Linked DNA regions of Sus scrofa. The protein of the gene in region 3 interacts with the protein of the main gene of each other region in a biochemical or structural test. Links are inferred from orthologs where the notes say so. Each region holds a gene or a part of one and is shown on either strand. Other genes may lie near its edges. The genes, in order: MATK, PTPN11 and SIRPA.

The links.
Region 1: the proteins of SIRPA (region 3) and MATK form a complex in vitro, tested with the Homo sapiens proteins (3 studies listed by BioGRID, with this or other methods). The link is inferred for Sus scrofa from reciprocal best matches to the Homo sapiens genes SIRPA and MATK.
Region 2: the proteins of SIRPA (region 3) and PTPN11 form a complex in vitro, tested with the Homo sapiens proteins (2 studies listed by BioGRID). The link is inferred for Sus scrofa from reciprocal best matches to the Homo sapiens genes SIRPA and PTPN11.

Annotation. Positions count from the first base shown.
Region 1 is NC_010444.4:74,916,745-74,919,573, reverse strand, and holds the end of MATK (megakaryocyte-associated tyrosine-protein kinase), read right to left. Parts: intron 2,325-2,829; coding exon 2,225-2,324; intron 2,149-2,224; coding exon 2,064-2,148; intron 1,976-2,063; coding exon 1,902-1,975; intron 1,789-1,901; coding exon 1,593-1,788; intron 1,239-1,592; coding exon 1,152-1,238; intron 1,057-1,151; coding exon 817-1,056; 3' UTR 601-816; downstream 1-600.
Region 2 is NC_010456.5:39,229,488-39,233,138, reverse strand, and holds part of PTPN11 (tyrosine-protein phosphatase non-receptor type 11), read left to right. Parts: intron 1-50; coding exon 51-147; intron 148-1,142; coding exon 1,143-1,222; intron 1,223-1,343; coding exon 1,344-1,502; intron 1,503-3,367; coding exon 3,368-3,499; intron 3,500-3,651. UniProt on the Homo sapiens protein: Acts downstream of various receptor and cytoplasmic protein tyrosine kinases to participate in the signal transduction from the cell surface to the nucleus. Positively regulates MAPK signal transduction pathway. Dephosphorylates GAB1, ARHGAP35 and EGFR.
Region 3 is NC_010459.5:33,582,984-33,586,634, forward strand, and holds part of SIRPA (tyrosine-protein phosphatase non-receptor type substrate 1 precursor), read right to left. Parts: intron 2,110-3,651; coding exon 1,792-2,109; intron 1,234-1,791; coding exon 904-1,233; intron 1-903. UniProt on the Homo sapiens protein: Immunoglobulin-like cell surface receptor for CD47. Acts as docking protein and induces translocation of PTPN6, PTPN11 and other binding partners from the cytosol to the plasma membrane.

The DNA.
Region 1 (2,829 bases), on a different chromosome or scaffold from region 3:
CTAGGGTCGAGTCAGGATTCAAGCCTAGAGCCCCAGCCCCCATGAGACAGTGGACAGGAGAGCGGGGCCTTGAGACAGGCTGTGCTGCTGGCTTTTTTCGGTGTCCTTCAGAGTCACTGGGTCAGGATGTTGGGTCGTGACAGGTGGAGAACACAGGTGGTGGCAGTAGAGCCTCCCCAGGAAGGGACATCACCACAGTGGCAGGCCCTCCCTGGGCTCCCACATGCCATCTCTGAGGGGCAAGGGCTGGGAGCAGAAGAGGATGCTGGGACAGGAGATTAGACCTCTGTGGCCTCTGGCACTGGCCCACTGTTGTCTGTTCCTGAGATGCTGAGGACTATAGTGGGGTCCTCACCACCAAACGAGGTGGGGAACCCATTAGTGGGGACCCATTAGCAAATGGGTCCACGGGTGGCTGTGATCCCTGGCCTGGGGGTCTCCTGGCTCCATCCCCAGGGAAATCTTTGCCCCCGGGGGCTGCAAGGTCCTAGCTGGGTGAACCCCTCAGTGGACAGACAAGTGGGCAGGCAGGTGGCCCCCTGGCTGAGTGACAGGGGGCCCCCAGTGTGGACACAGGGGGAGCAGAGAGAGAGGCAGACACCCAGTCCTTGGAACCAGTCTTTATCTAGGTGCCAGTCCTTCACCTCCCTGTGGCTGGGGTGCCCACAGGTGGCCCAGAGCCCCCACCCAGCCCTGCCCCTGTGACACCACCGAGGCAGGCAGCTGGCCGGCCTTGCCCCTCTCCAGGCCTGGCCCACGTCCCACCCTGTGCCCTGCACTTTCAGTCCTCCGGGGGCCGAGGCCCCGTGGGCAGGGTCAGGGCTCCTGGCTGCGTGTCAAGGTGGGACCATCTGCATCCTGCCCTCCACTGGGGGCTGAGGGGCCTGCGCTGCGCAGCTCCCGGGCCAGCTTCTCGGCCAGTTTGCGGAAGGGTGGCCGACGAGCAGGCTCTGCCTCCCAGCAGCTGCCCATGAGGGCGTGGATGGGGCCCGGGCAGCCCTCGGGGGGCTCCATGCGGTACCCCTTCTCCACGGCCTCTGACACCTCCTTCAGCGACTGTAGGCAGAGAGCATGCCGGTGTGGGCTGGGGGTCAGGATCACGACCCCTAGACCTGCCTGGGACCCAGTCCCTCCCCCTGGACCCTGCTCACCATCTTGGGGTATGGAGCCCGGCCGTATGAGAAGACCTCCCACAGCAGCACCCCAAAACTCCAAACATCTGACTTGCTGGAGAACTTCTGTTGGGTGATCAGAGTGAGGAGGGACTGCTCAGGGCTTCTGCTCCACCCCCTGCTTCCTCCAGGATGTCCTCCTGGGTTGAACTTCACTCTCTTGTCTTCTCCCATGAATTCCCCAATTCAGACTCGGTGCAAGAACAAGGTTATCCTTGCTCTCAGTACTGAGCCCAGGACTGTTTCAGAAATGAGGAGTCCGAGGCCCAGGAAGGAACTAAAAGGAACAATTATGGGCCAAGGGCTTATTGGGGAGGCAGAGCCATTTCCCATGGAGGTTCAGAGAGGCCAAGAGACAGGCCCACGGTCATAGAGTGGAGCTAGGTTCCAAGGTCCCTGGGGGCTAAGGCGGGGGCTCACCCCATGTTTGAGGGCTTCGGGTGCCGTCCACTTGACCGGCAGCCGGCTGGAGTCCAGCCCCTTGCGCTCAGCTTTGGCCAGGCCAAAGTCGCTGACCTTAGCCACCAGGTCCTCGGACACAAGGATGTTGCGGGCAGCCAGGTCACGGTGCACCAGCTTCTTGCTCTCCAGGTATTCCATGCCCTCGGCCACATGCCTGTTGGGGAGGTGGGGGGCAGGAGGCTCCAGTGCCTGGGCCACAGACCCCCAAGGCCAGGCCCCTCCCTGCTCCATGTCCTAGTTTCCCCATCCCCTGGGAGCCCCACTCACAGGGAAAACTGCAGGAGCTGGGGGGTGTTCACAAGGGCCCGGCCCCGCGTCCGTAGAAAGTTCACCAGGTTACCCTGCAGGGGAGCACAGGCGTGGTGGGGCAGTGTTCCAGGCTGCTCGGGGGTCCCCCCACCCCAGGAGACCTTTGGGCCCCTCTCCCACCTTGCTGACGTGCTCCATGACGATGTAGAGGCCCTGGTGCAGGATCACACCCAGCAGGCGCACCAGGTTCTTGTGCTGCATCTTCCTGGGGGCAGGCGGGCGTGGGGTGAGGGTGGGTTGGGACCCCCTACCTAGAGTGCTCTCCCCTCACCAGGACTCACGTCATGACCGCTGTCTCGTCCAGGAAGGCCTGGGCCGTCACGTCGCACTTGATGTTCTTCACTGCCACCTTCTGTCCCAGGTACTCGCCCTGCAGGACGGCTAAGGGGTGGGTGGGGGCAGAGGTCAGGGCAGAAACAGGGACATACCCACTCACATCAACCCCCACAGAGGCCTACCCTGCTGTGGCCCCCAGGCCTGGAAACCCCTCACCCTAGAGGTTCCAGACCCCTGAGCAAAGTGAATCACCTAAGCCAGGGGTCTGCAAACTCCAGCTTCAGGGTCCAAATCAGTCCTGTGTGGGTTTTTGCAAGGCCTGCAAGCTCAGAATGAGTTTTTACATTTTTAGTTGTTTTTTTTTGTTTATTTAATTTTTGTTATTTTAATGTTATGGCTGTGCCCGAGGCACATGGAAGTTCCTGGGCCAGGGACTGAATCTGAGCAGCAGCCTCGACCCACACCAGAGCTGTGACAATGACAGATCCTTTAACCCATTGCACCAGGCCAGGGATGGAACCCACACCTCCACAGCAAACCAAGCTGCCACAGTAAAAATGCCAGATCGTTATGTAACCTGCTGTGCCACAAAAAGACTCCAGTTTTTAAA
Region 2 (3,651 bases), on a different chromosome or scaffold from region 3:
TGTTTTGAAGTTTTTCATGCATGACGATATCTACTTTTGTTTCTCTCTAGACACTACAACAACAGGAGTGCAAGCTTCTCTATAGCCGAAAAGAGGGTCAGAGGCAAGAAAATAAAAACAAAAATAGATATAAAAACATCCTGCCCTGTAAGTATCAATGTATTTCTCAATATCAGTCACTTTTGGAGATTTTTTTTTTTTTCAGGGCTGTACCCATGGCATATGTAGGTTCCCAGGCTAGGGGTCAAATTAGAGCTATAGCCGCTGGCCTATGCCACAGTCACAGCAATGCCAGATCCTTAACCCACTGAGCGAGGCCAGGGATCAAACCTATGTCCTGAAGGATATTAGTCAGATTTGTTTCCACTGTGCTGTGATGGGAATTCCACTTTTGGAGATTTTGATTCCCCAAGGCTTGCCATCTCCCAGGGTCTCACCACGATCCTCAGGGGTTCCAGGCTTGTGTCCTTGCTCTGCAGACGTTGGCGCATGTACTTTTGTACAGAATTTAGTCAGTAAATAATTGTCATCAGAATCTTGTCATTTAGATACTGTATTTAATGCTACTTCATTAAAAGAACTTTTTATTATGGAAAGTTTAAAATATATTCAAAAGTAGAGTAGTATAAAGAACCCACGGGTACCCATCACCCAGCTCCAACAATTGTCAACTCATGCCCAGTCTTGATTCATCTATATTCTGTTACACTTTGCTTCTCTCCCTGAATTATATTGAAGCATATCTCAGATATCATTGTTATTTATCTGTACTTTACTCTTCTTTTTTTTTTTTAAAATCCTTTTTGTTTTGAAATGATTTTTAGATTCACACACGAAGTTACAAAGATATGTAGGGGGTTTCCCTTGTACCCTTTACCCAGCTTCTCCCAGTGAAAATGTCTTATCTATCCATAGTGCATTATCAACACCAGGGAATTGACATTACTACTTTAGTCTCCTTAAAGAAAACATTATGAGGCCTCATGTTCAGATTATTGTCATATTCACTTAGAGTTTAGTTTTTGATGCTGTTTAATCATTAAATGAACACAACTTGGACGAAGTTGAGGTTGAACTGATTTGAACTGACCTGCCCTGAGAGGTCTGGGTACTTTTGTGACTATGCTCTCGTTTTCTTCCAGTTGATCATACCAGAGTCGTCTTACATGATGGTGATCCCAATGAGCCTGTTTCAGATTACATCAATGCAAATATCATCATGGTAAACTTGGCTTTTCACAGTGTTTCTGACTTTACCTTGCTAGCCGATTTTTGTATTATAAATCCTTCCTTCCTAAAAGCAGCTTTCAGATGTTTGAAGGATTTTCTTCCTAAATTTCTAGCCTGAATTTGAAACCAAGTGCAACAACTCAAAGCCCAAAAAGAGTTACATTGCCACCCAAGGCTGCCTGCAAAACACGGTGAATGACTTTTGGAGGATGGTATTTCAGGAGAACTCCCGAGTAATTGTCATGACAACAAAAGAAGTGGAGAGAGGAAAGGTATACTACATACTCTGCTTTTTTAAAGTATTGGACATGTCAGGTTGATCATGTTAAGAACTGAATAAACACATTTCACTTTCTCTTACCCTCTGGAAAAAAGGGATCAGGAGAAATTTGGTTATGACATACTTTGGTATAGTTTTCTTTATATTTCTTCTGCTTGGAAGTCATGGAACTTCTTGGGTCTGTGGACTTACAATTTTCTTCAAATGTGAGTAATGTTTACTATGTCTTCAAATATGTACCCTCAACCCACTTTTTCTGGATACCAATTACACGTATATTAGGCTCTTTAAAGTTGTCCTATTGCTCATTGAGACCTGGTTCCCCTCTGTGTTTTGTTTTGGATAAGTTTCTTTTGCTATACATCTTTCAGTTAATCTTTTCTTCTGCAGGGTATAATCTGCTGTTTGTCTTCTCCAGTGAAATTTTCATGCAGACCTTCTGATAATCTCCTCCCTTGGTATTCCCCCGGTGCACAGAAGGAAAACCAGACTCTGGACTGCCTTTGATTCCTGGGCTTTAATTTAAAGCTAAAGTATTAGGGCTTGCAGTTTAGAATTTGTTTGCCAAGGTTTATATCAAGAGTTTGGGAAGCTGGGAGGGGAGCACAGTACTTTGCAGAAGTGTAGTGTCAGCTACGGTGTTAGGAGTTGTGGTTTAATTTGTGTTCTCTTGAGCGACCAGCAGTCCTCAGAATGGATTGACCACTAACCGCATTGATACACTTAATAGTAAGTGTTTATTTGGGATAATAAAAATTGAATCAAATCTGTCAAAGAGGTATTTGGATCTGCAGCATACTAGAGGGAAAGACAAATTCAGAATAATAAATAAAAGACCGCATAAACTGTGCCAAGCAAAAAACTAGCACCATCCATTAATTCTTCTGTCGAACTTTCCTTCTACCATTTTTTTCCCCACTTCATCATCGTGGGGAATGTCTGTAGCTGCTGTCTTATTTCTTGTGTAATAACAGTGAATTTCTCTGTTTTCCCGATGTACAAGGTAGCTTTCTCTTGCTGATGTTTGTGTCTTGGTGGTTGTGGAAAGTGAGTGGTGTGGGTGACCGCTCCCAGGAAAAAACAAGACACAAAAGCGTTCTCTGCCCAGGATACATCACCAAATACATGCAGACTCATCTCTCAGTGAGCGAAATCTCTTCCTTTTTGGCAGCAAGCATGATTCTCTTGGTGCCATGTTTTCCAATCTGCCTGCTCTGAAGCCAGCAGCTATTGCGGGCTTGGCGTTCCCAGGCACCCAGTTATGTGAAGGTGGCATGTGTAGCAGGTATCAAATGGATCTGGATATAGAAAAAGCAGCTGGTTCAGACCCCATATCAGCTGCCTTTCTGTGCTGGAGTTATTCACACTTAGGTTAGATAAGGCACGGAGGCCTCCCACACTGGTGCGGAAAGGAACCAGACAGTCTGGCTCACTGGGCAGCCCATCCACCTCCAGAGTCCCTGCTCGCCTTCCCTGCAGAGTGACTGGCAGATTCCGGAATTCAGAGCTCAGTGGTTGCTAGACAAGCACCCTTGCATGGGGTAGTTCCCCTCTCTCTGCCTCAGGTTCTTTGGGAGAGAAATAAATGAGCACCGGCTCTCCTCTGACTTGTGGCTTAGGGCAGACAGCTCTGCAGTGGTGGCTTTCTCTTCCCACTTCTCCTTGGTTCACCATGCACCGACTTTTCTTATTTGAACTCTTCTTTCCTTTTCTTTGAAAATCCAACAGTTAGATACCAGATAGGCTCTCTTCCAAGTTAGCGGTCGTTAAGACTCAAACATTGGTGGTTCTCTGCTGCTTTAGGCTTTCATACCAGAGTTCACAGAGATTAACTGTCTTTTCTCTGATCCCTTCCAGAGTAAATGTGTCAAATACTGGCCTGATGAGTATGCGCTAAAAGAATACGGGGTCATGCGCGTTAGGAACGTCAAAGAAAGTGCCGCTCATGACTATACATTAAGAGAACTTAAACTTTCAAAGGTCGGACAAGTAAGTATATTGTCGTACTTTAGAGACTTTGTAACTGCTAATCCAGTGTGGTGCAGTTACTTCTGTTGGCAAACATTCAGGCATTCCTTCACTTATTGATTGACGTCCATTTGTTGGGTACCTTTTATGTACCAGGGACCGTGGAGGTACTA
Region 3 (3,651 bases):
ACAGGCTTGTCCAAGTCCCCACAAGGCTGTGACAGCCAGAGTGGGTCCACCCATCCTGTCTCCCAGTGCTGGGCCTATCCTGTGAAAACCAGCCATCTGTGGCAGCAAAGGGCACCCTGGCAGGCCCCAAGGCTTCTTCAGAGCCGTTCCCTTGAAGGAAGCACAAAGGAAGGAACTGGCCTCTATTCTAATCCATTCAGAGTCTGCTATACACAAGCGTACAGGTGATGGAACATTCCACAGTGGCACCAAATGCCAACGAGGTGCTGCCATCTTAAAGGAAGAAGAGAGAGACGCTGACAGCAGGTGGAAGAGGGCTGACACCTTTTGTTCTCCCAGGAGAGTGGCAGCATCCCCACGGTCTTAAACGGGCATGTACTGGGGCCTAGAAAAGCTCTTTGGTAAATCGTCCCACGGACATACCTGCGCATGTAACAGAATATATCCAAGGCACGCAGCCCTGATTGTACCCGAGGTAAGCGCAGATGGTGTGAAGCCCCTGCGCCCCTTCCCAGGGGGCGGCCTTGTGACGGCAGCCGGGAGACTGAGCCAAGGCAAGAAAGAGCAGGCAGGAGGGACGTGGCGGACAGGGGGTGGTGAGCACAGTGGCTGTTAGTAGGTGAACACGAGAGGCAGGACGCTCTGAACCGGATGATCTCCCTCCTCTCCCTACTTTCTTTCTTGAAGGATATTTACGCCAAAAGATCTATCAGGAAGGTACCAGATTCTCTTACCAGTCGTGACTCCTGGAGAATGGGATTTGGGAGAGGGGAACGCACTTCAAACTTCTATTTAATATCTACCGACTTTCTAGATTGTTCTCGAATAAGCATGAATCATTATTTTAGCATTTAAAAAAAGAAAAAAAAAAAAGAGCCCGGTCAGTTGGAGTGGTGGCCTCACCAAGGACTGCATCTGCACCCTGCTCCTTCTGGTGAGTGACAACCTCCAGGGTATAGTTTTTGGTGACCGCCGGCTGCCCATCATGCTCCACCTGACAGGTGAGCAGCACAGCCTCCCTGTGGGCAGATGAGTTCACCAGGAGCCAGCTGGTCCGGTTGAAGGTCCCATCCTTGTTCTCCATGAGGGTCGAGGCCGTTTCTGTCCGGGACACGTTTCTGTTCTCCAGCCAGGTCAGCTGTAGGCGCTGGGGGTAGAACTTCTTCACCAGGCAGGTGACATTCACCTGGCTCCCCGTCGGGGGCTGTTGGGTAACCTCCAGGGTGGGCGGAACTGAAACAGCACAGGCAGAAGCTCTGACCTTGTGGAACAGACAGGTCATGGGGAAGGGGCTGGATCCCAGCTCCCAGCACAGCAGGGAGTCACCCAGGACCGAGCCAGGCAGGCACGGGTGCTCTCACACCGAGGGGCTCTGGGCCTATGAATGAAAGCACTGAGCACAGTGCAGGGCACACAGTAGGTGCTCCTGGACCCGTCATTGGGGTATAAGGAGGGAAATCAACAAGCACAGCCCCTGGCATGCGGTGGGAATATCATAACTGGCGCAAAACCCATGAAATCACCAAGCACACGGGGGCCTGGCTTAGAGCAGGTGCTCCGTCGTTGGAGATGCTCTGGGTCGAGTCAGGGAACCTCTGAGCACAGGGCCTGGACATGACTGGTGTCCACCTTGCGGCTGCCTTTAAGGCAGCAGTGAGTGGCCAGCACAGCCAGGAGCCTGGTGGTTGGGCAGGACTGTCAGGAAGCAGATTCGAGGCAGTTCAAGGCAGGGGGAGGGGCAGGCTGGGGGTTGGGGCAGGTGTGGCCGTGGGCTGATGTGAGGGTATCTACCTCGGATGGTCTCAGACAAGTTGGCAGTTCCACGGAGAGGAGGGCCCCCTTGCAGGGTGACGTGGGCCACCTCGCAGATGACCTGGGAGTGCACATCCCCCGGGGCCAGCAGCACCTCGGTGGTGCTGGAGATGCTGTAGGAAACGTTTCCCTCGGGCTCCACGCTGGTCTGGGAGGCTGGGAGCTCATTGCCATTTTTGAACCATTTCAGGGAGATGTTTCTGGGGGAGAAGCCGTGGGATTTGCAGGTGAAGCGCACTGTCTGCTCAGGTGTGGCCCTCGCCGCAGGGCCTGAGACCACGGGCCGAGAGGGCTTGGCTACAAAAGGAGCATTTTTAAACAATCAACATGAGCGTGACTTCCATCACTAAGGATAAGCGTCAGGCACTTAAGAACCTTCGCACATATTATGTTTAATCCCCCTGATAATGCTGGGCTGGCAGGTCACCATCCTCAACTTTCAAAGGGACACAGGTTGCCAGAGGTGAGCTCTGGGTAGGGCCCACATGGAAACCTGAGCCCAAGTTCAAAGTCCTTCTCTTCTCTGCCAGGGGATGTCCCAGCAATCTGGGCACAGGGACAAGAGTAAAGATTGATGGTTTCACTCTTCCCATTAACTGTTCTTAGCCGGCCTCCCCTGGAAAACTTAACTAACTTCAGAGATGTGTTTACAGAAGTAAATGCAGGGGAAGCAGGGGCATAGTGGGACTGCCACGGAAGCTGAACCAGGCTGGACGAGAAGTGTGGCCGTGGCACCTCCCAGCTCCTTGTCTGTGACATGGGACAGCGGACATCCTCCTTCCCAGGGTGCCAGCGAGGGTTGAAGCGGGCAGTGGAAGCATTTTTGCTCTGAGGAAACCACAAGATGCTAAACAAAACTGAACCAACACGGATCTCTCTTTGACCTGAACTGTATTTATATCCAGAGCTGTCCCTTCAGGTATTAAAAATGTACTCCACAGGTTCCATTCTTCCCAGATATTCCCGTAAGACTTATCTGCCAATCTCTGCCTTGGAAAAGGAAGGAGCAAGCCAATGCCGAGAAACCAAAGATGGTTAATTTCTTAATTGTTACTGAATCAGAAGAGACAGACACAGGCCTACAGAGCACCCGAAGCACAGAGACCCGCACATCCAAAGCGAGGGCTTCTCCCTGGAGAAGGGCCCTAGGGTGTCTCCAAACTGTTCATTATTACCCAACACTTCCTGTAAAAGTCGGCAGATGGCAAATATGATAAATATTTGCACTGGTAAATATTTAACTTGCTTCCTAAGACTCATCAAACGTTTTGAGGACCTAGTAAAGAAGTGTTACTTGAATAAGTCATAAAAACACCAGCATCCTGGATGTCGCTCAAGGGACGAGATGCTGTGATCGGTTACCTTTTATGCGAGCCCGAGGCTGGCCAATGCCTCCAAGACTTCCAACTCTCTGGTTCTCCCACCAGCCCCGTGAGGGAGGCCCCAGTGTGGTCCTATCTATGGGACGAGGCTCGGGGGGACGCGGCTCGGGGAGACGCAGCGGACCAAGGGCACCCGGGGAGAAAAGGTCAGAGTTCATCTCATTGCACAAAGGACTGATGATTTTAAGGTCTCTGTTCTTTATCCTTGAGCCTCAGTGTCTGCTCCTGGACAAAGTGGATACAGACACCACCCTGGTAAGATGAGTGAAGATGTATGGAAAACACAGAGCCTGGCACATAGTAGGTGCTTCATCAGTAACACCTGTGATTTTTTTTTTTTTTTTTGGTCTTTTTAGGGCCTCACTTGCAGCATATGGAAGTTCCCAGGCTAGGGGTCGGATTGGAGCTGCAGGTGTGGGCCTACGCCACAGCAACAGCCATGCAGGATCGGAGCCTC